Linked DNA regions of Yarrowia lipolytica. The protein of the gene in region 1 interacts with the protein of each later gene in a pairwise test. Links are inferred from orthologs where the notes say so. Each region holds a gene or a part of one and is shown in the gene's direction. Other genes may lie near its edges.

Region 1 (3,810 bases):
TCGGTTGAGTATCCACTTTGGGTGGGTCGGTACGATGAAATGGCCAAAGCACATGTTGGTTCTCGATGAAAGGGGATTCGATATTTCTTCCACTTCCCCAGTCTTACAGTATCTCCTTGTCATCCTTGTCACTCTTCTTTGAGACCTCCCTAGTGCCTAGCCTTGTACCTGTCGGTTAAGACTAGCCGCGGAAGATTCCGAATTGGCTACAAGTAGCTCAGGCACACCAAGAGACAATTTTTCCGAAACTGACCGAGTTGCCCCGGAGCTGGTCGCCTTTAGCTGACATGGGTCGCCATATCTCCTGACCTTCGCGATATGAAAACTTTTCCTTGTCTTGGCGCTGACAGCTGTCAAACCGTAGCAGCCACCCCAACCAAGGGCAGGGATAGGGATAGGGATGTTGTTGTAGCCGTTGGTCTTGAATATTGTTGAGAAAAGAAAAAGAAATCAGATGTTTCCAAACGAGTTTCATAGACGAGTTTCCGTGGTCAGTTTTCTAGGATTTCGTGAGCATCTTCTCTACTGTCTGAGATGAACGTTGGTATGTACAGAACTTGAACATGCACTATGAGTCCTCTGCGCAAACTGTACCCGGATCACCGAGGACACTTGTCACTGAATTTTGTCAGAAATGCAACGTCAGTGATACTACCATCTTTTTTTTATCAGATTTAGCCGAAAGCAATGCGCTGCTCTCTACCCCACACTCTTAACATCAGACTCTCAACGGCAGCCAAGTGGAGCAAAAAGAAGCCAAAATATCGACTCTAGTCGGCGGGGAATGGCAGGGGTCAGAGAGTTGCTCCGCCTACTGTATCTGTTGCATAGTAGCCATTCTCCTTCTGAACGCCGCTTAGAATGATTGTTTGTGTCTGTAGGAGGAGTGTCAAGTGGGGACATTCGGTGCTCAGGCGTGATTTAAAGTAGATTTTTGACATCTGGGGGGCGTGGGTGAACTGTTGTAGGCCTTTTTACCGTCTCTAGAACGGGTTTTGGACGAGTTTTGGGTTTTTTTTCGCCAGATCGATTTTTCATATTTGACCAGATATTGGAAAAACAAGGTTGGGTGTTAAAAATTCGCGGTCCCTTGGCCCAGTTGGTTAAGGCGTCGTGCTAATAAGAAATTAGCCTCTTTGCAACGCGAAGATCAGCAGTTCGATCCTGCTAGGGACCAATTTTTTTATTGATGGAGAAACCGCGGCACATATCTGTCATTTTTTCCTTTGTTCTTTTTCCTAGATTACGCATTGTACGATACCACCATACCTTACCATACCATGAGTATCGTACGATACATCCGGGTAACTTCTTGTGGCATGTTCGGGGCACCATGACGATACTGTATACAGCAATCTATGATTCAGAACATGGAGATGAAACAGACAGCTGAATCATGTCGTATCGTCACGGAAGTCCAATTCGGTTCATCTCTGTAAGATCTTTGTTTCTACATATCAAGCCACTTGCTTACTGTACTGTATGTACTATTCGACATTGACACTTGATCTTGTAGCTTCGACGCTTGTTGAGCAACCGCCCCGCACTGGAAATATGTGGCCCAAATGAACGCCTCGGCATGTACGATATGAGGCGAGTATTTGTAATAACTGCTGTTTGACTCTTTTACTTCTTTCTTCTTGCAACATTTTCAATATCTACAACCAAAACACACCATGACCGGAGCCGCCTCGACCATCACCTACGAATGTCCCATTTGCCAGAAGAGCTACTCTCCGGACGCCTACACCAAACACGTCCGGGAGTGCGTGTGTTCGTATACACGGGAGAGTCAGAAGTCTGACGATTGATTGGAGGGAAGATGAAGAGAGTTGATTGTTTGTATTTGACACTAACTCGTAGTTGGGCTGTATCGTGATTGTATCGTAGGTCTCTCTCTAGCTGTAGGTGTCTCCACTCAGATTGGTTGTGCTTCGGTTGATCTATCGAGAAGCGTCAACTAATAATTTCAAATTAATCAACAAAAATTGTGCAGTTTTGTCAAATTAGTGGACGGTTTTGTGAGCGTTGCCGTTCGGTTAAGAGGAGGTCAAGGGTCGGTTAAAAACGGGATATTGCGCCGGATAATCAAGAGTATCTTTGGGGCTAGGTTACTTCCTGTTAATACGTCGCTTCCAGAAAAACGCGGACAAATCCTATCTCACTGCTCTGACATAAACTAAATCATGCATCTGAGAGGCATGTCTATGTAGTGTCAGAGCATATGGCCAAAGCCACCTCATCACTAACAAAACGATCCAGCACCACAACATGTCTGAAAGCTCGACCTTGAGGTCGTTTGACGCGTTTCCAAAAGTCAACACCGCGTACAAGCGACAGTCGACGCGAGGCGGACTCGCCACCCTGGTGATTGGCGTCCTGTGTTTCTACTTTCTCTGCTCCGAGCTGCGAGGATACTCCAACGGCCACGAGGAGCACATTTACACAGTGACCAAGGACCTGGCAGAAACCATCCAGCTCAATGTGGACGTGACAGTGGCAATGCCGTGCAAGAGCATCAAGGTGATTGCTCAAGACTACTCCGAAGACACGTTTTTCGCACACGAGCTGCTCAATATGCAGGGCCTGACATATGACTTTGGCACAGACCGAATGCAACACGAGATCCACAGCCACAAGGCGTACGAGATGAACAGTAAGACGCTGAAAAAGAGCAAATTCAAACACACGCGAGTGGGCTCGCATTCTACCGACCCCCACTGTCGAATCTCCGGCTCGGTGCCCATCAACCACGTCGAAGGAGCGCTCCAGATCTTCAATCTGCCCGACAATCAGTACTTCATCAACCCCATGAAGGCCTCCGATGGTCTCAACTTGACTCATGCCATCCATGAACTGTCGTTCGGAGATTACTTCCCAAAGGTGCTTAATCCTCTGGATGGAGTGAGCACCGTCACCGACGAGCCTCTCATGTCGTACCAGTATTTCCTGTCGGCCGTTCCTGTGGAATACAGCTCCGGCAGAAAGAAGATCCACACCTACCAGTATGCCGTCAAAAAACAAACCACCAATCTGCAGGAGCACTTTGTCACCCGACCGGCCATCTTCTTCCATTACAAGTACGAGCCTGTGACTCTCAAGATCCAGGACTCGCGCGAGACGTTGACCGTGTTTGTCGTCAAGCTGCTGTCGATTCTCGGCGGCTTTGTGGTCTGTGGATCGTGGATTGTTCGAGGAGGAGAAAAGGCCTACGAGAAGATTGTGGGCAAAAAGCTGAACTACGCCTCATTGCACACTGGAGGATTGTTGGATCGAAAGAGCTGATCAGGGTAAAATAGAGCACATAGATAGATAGCGGTTTAATGGCATTTATGATGATTTCCGCGTGCATTGACCGAGTTCGATGCTATGAGGAGTATGGTTCGTATTGATGAACACCTCCAGGAATCGTTTCCTTCTCCACAGAGTAGAACATATGTCAACTCTGGACTGTTAGGCCTAATTACACCAGTCAAAACAACTCGTCTATTTCTATAACCACCTAATAAGTATCGATCATGTGCTGCAGGAGCTTTGCAGAACTGATTGGACTCTTCTTCCACACCTTGGACACGCCTCCTTGTTTGGGACTGTCCATCAGCAAAGGTGCAAACACGTCCAGAGCCGTCTTGAGAGTCATGGCCTTTCTGTCTACCAACAGACGGATGAAGGAGCAGATGTAAATCATCACGTTGGCATTCACGTTGGGCACAGCCTCCAGAATATGGGCAGCCACGTCCGCAGTATTGTCCACTCCTCCTCCCATAAACGGAATTCGGCTTCCCGTGCCTGCTGCGATGGTTTTTTCAG
Region 2 (3,550 bases), on another chromosome or scaffold:
CTTCCATCCATCCTCGCTTGCCTTTGATTGCCCCGAACCCCCCCCCTGTTGTTGTGCCCTATCATACATGATGATACGCATGTGCATAGCCATAAGATAAACGTGTCGTTTTGTCACGGTGGCGTTGTGGGAGGTCGGCAAATAAAAATGGCACAAGTGTATGCCTCGGTGTCGGAATGGATGGCGGCTGTTTGATCATGTTGATTGCTGGTCGATGGCGTTGGGGACACCTCTGTTCATCGTATCTTGTCATGTGTTTCGGGGCTCACACCCCTAGGTGCTGGGAAATGATTAATGGAGGAGCTCCAGGGGCCCATCCATCGTCGAGAGATACTCACTCTAGTTCACGCAATCGATAAAATGCAATAAGTTAATGACAAAGTCTTGATTATTCAAAATCGAATGAATAAGACTGTCTGGGTTGAGTGCTGCAATTAGTCCAGAAAGGAGTTTGTGTTGGTTGTGGGACGAAAAAGGCCAAATCATCATCAGAGTCAGGGAGGGTAACGCTTGTCGGGTCACGTGGCTTGGAAATGCACAACATTAAATGCAACAATGACCCAAGCTTGATGAGTAGGGGGGGGGAAGATAATGAGCTATACACGTGTCTTCGAGCATTTGGAAGATAATAATCCACCAACCCGCCTGGCCCCACTCTTTATGTACTAGTTTCAACCGACTTTCCTCACTTACAATACCATCTCTAGTCTCGCTGTCGTTTCCCTGCTTGTTTTTTCTGGCTCCGGAGATTCGCGTGCATCGGATTTAGTCTTAGGTTCGATGGACCAGCGTGTCAAAACAATGGAGGGGAATGAGCGTGAAACTACGGTACAACTAAGATGCGATACACTGTCAAGTATCGTACTGGTGTAGGAGTGGGAGAGAGTGATTGTGAAGGCAAAGACGGGCTTTTTCCTAACAAGGAGACGGACGCGTTACAGTAGCTACTTGAGACCGTTGTAGGATCCCAACTAAGTCTCGGTTAGTAATACTTCCACACTGATCAGTCTTGCTCACTATAGACCTCGGACAGTGTATACGGCAGTATACAACAGTATTCAACTGAGAGTCACGTCGCTTCGGTGCACGTACAATTGCCATCTGCATCAAGTCAAATACCCCATTTAGACCCCTACCGGCCTCATGCTCTCGTAGCACATGCCCATCTGCCCCATATGGCCTCACTTTACCCCATTCGAAGCCATTCTCTTTCACACCTCCCGTGTGCACGCAGTGCAGCCAGCTGGCCTTCAGATGCCACGTCATTGTTTGACCCGGCTAAAAAAGGTTTGGGGACGTGCGTGAAAAGTGAAACCGTGAGGTGGAAAAAGGGACGCTGTATTGCGAGAGACACAACCGATAGAGTAGACGATCTGGGGTACCCGTACTGTACTTATATTGTTTGATTCAATTGAATTATTTATTAACGTGTGTTTTACTGCGTATACAAGCCCTTTCCTATCACTTGAGCCCGTAAGTCAATCTAGCCCTACATATGAGTCGTAGACCCATGCTCGCGTCCCTCAGCCATTATACAGTAGCTTACGCCAGGCCTGCTCTACAGTAATAAACATCCTTTCCCCCCCAACCCCACCAAATACAGTAGCTTGCCGCCGCATGACGTGGACTGTAGCTAATACTGTAGTTTGAGATGACCTAATTAATTAACCGAAGAGAACAGCAAGATGGGAGATGTCATCGCCGTAAAAGTGGCCAATCTGTATAAGAGGACACGCAATGGCGGAATAACGGAGATATATTAGCCCTCCAACGTCCACTTACAACTACCCTGCCTAGTCCCAGCTTCCCACCCTTCCCATTCCACACATCTGTTTTTGGCTACTGCAGCGAAGTGGGCATGCTGATCTGAACAAACTCTCGAAAGACCACCTGGCACACACAAGATTACATATTCTACCTTTCACAATCTTCCTGTGTTAACACCACACCATACAACAATGTCGATCCGAGGCACCGCCAAATACCACCAGATACCCGTCCAGAGCGACGCGCCGCAATTCGCAGCCCCCCAGGGTCAACAGTTTTCGTCCTACTCCCAGAACCGCGACTTCAACCTCAAATCCACAATCACAGAGGGCGACTTTGCCGACAAGGTCAAGGCCGTGACCCAGAAGATTGAGGTCTTCCTGGACAAGTACTCGGGCCCGGTCAAGCCCCATCTTCCCACCCTCGGCCGGTTCCTCATTGTCGTCACTTTCCTGGAGGACGCGCTCCGAATCCTCACACAGTGGTCTGACCAGGTCTACTACATCACCAACTTCAAGCACATCCCCAAGTTTATCACCGTCATCTTTCTGCTGCTCAACGTGGTTGCCATGATCGCCGGATCCTTCATGGTCACCGCCAAGAAGCGAATTGAGGTCGGTTGCGGTCTGCTGGTCGGAGTCATTGTCACCCAGGCTCTGGCCTACGGCCTCATCTTTGACTTTGGCTTCATTCTGCGAAACCTGTCCGTCATTGGCGGTCTTTTCATCGCTCTTAACGACGCCTTTGTCAAGGACAAGTCCAAGCGAGGTCTCCCTGGTCTCCCCTCTATTGACGACAAGGACCGGTCCAAGTACGTGCTCCTGGCAGGCCGAATCCTCCTGGTTGTCATGTTCACCTCCTTCATCCTCAATATGACCTGGACTATGTCTCGAGTTCTGGTGTCCATTGTCGGAATTGCTGCTTGCTCCATGGTCGTTGTTGGCTTCAAGGCCCGAGTTTCCGCGTTCCTCCTGTGCATCATCCTCTTCATCTTTAACATCACCGCCAACTCCTACTGGGCCTTCCCCGCCTCTTCTCCCGTCCGAGACTACCTCAAGTACGAGCACTTCCAGACCCTGTCCATCATTGGCGGTCTTCTGCTGGTTGTCAACACCGGAGCCGGCAAAATCTCCATTGACGAGAAGAAGAAGGTCTACTAAGCTATTACTAGTCAGCAACAACACTTTGGTAGAGTTTGATACAGACATTGACATCTACCGCGATGTAAAAATAATGTATACTAGGAGAGTCTGTCGTTCGCGAGTGGCAATGTCATGAGTTACACCTGATTCAAATAGTGAATAATAATATAACAGCCACAAATGAAAGATGTATCCACGGGTAGATATGGCTTTAATTACTGATGATTGAATGATTATCTGAGTGCTACAGTTGTAACGAGTACGAGTTATTACCTGCTACTATTGTACTCCTAAATCAAAGTACTCGTACATGCAATGAATTACTTGTACTTGCGCCAATCAGATCTATCGATTGTATTGTATATAATACTAGTCTATTCTTTTGCTTACCAGATGGTGTAACCTCCATCGACAATGAGATCGTGGCCGGTCATGTAGCTGGAGGCGTCGGAAGCCATGAAGACAATAGGGCCTCCAAACTCCTCGGGCTCAGCCATTCGTCGGAAAGGAATTCGTCGCTCCCAGTCGTTTCGGAGCTCTCCGTCAGTCTCGATGATGTGACGGGTCAGAGGAGTAAGAATGTAGCCGGGAGACAGAGTGTTGACTCGGATGTTGTACTGGGCCCACTCGGCAGCCAGAGA

The links.
Region 2: the proteins of YALI1_A17720g (region 1) and YALI1_F03428g interact in binary tests that used the Saccharomyces cerevisiae proteins (3 or more experiments, as listed by UniProt). The link is inferred for Yarrowia lipolytica from reciprocal best matches to the Saccharomyces cerevisiae genes ERV41 and ERV29.

The regions. Positions count from the first base shown.
Region 1 is NC_090770.1:1,770,496-1,774,305, reverse strand, and holds YALI1_A17720g (uncharacterized protein), read left to right. Parts: upstream 1-2,271; coding exon 2,272-3,285; downstream 3,286-3,810. Other genes in the region: YALI1_A17724g (uncharacterized protein), read left to right, coding at 1,677-1,791, 1,864-1,964; YALI1_A17671g (uncharacterized protein), read right to left, coding at 3,503-3,810. UniProt on the Saccharomyces cerevisiae protein: Constituent of COPII-coated endoplasmic reticulum-derived transport vesicles. Required for efficient transport of a subset of secretory proteins to the Golgi. The C-terminal Ile-Leu motif is required for exit from the endoplasmic reticulum.
Region 2 is NC_090775.1:340,919-344,468, forward strand, and holds YALI1_F03428g (uncharacterized protein), read left to right. Parts: upstream 1-1,958; coding exon 1,959-2,927; downstream 2,928-3,550. Other genes in the region: YALI1_F03452g (uncharacterized protein), read right to left, coding at 3,296-3,550. UniProt on the Saccharomyces cerevisiae protein: Constituent of COPII-coated endoplasmic reticulum-derived transport vesicles. Required for efficient transport of a subset of secretory proteins to the Golgi. The C-terminal di-lysine motif is required for exit from the endoplasmic reticulum.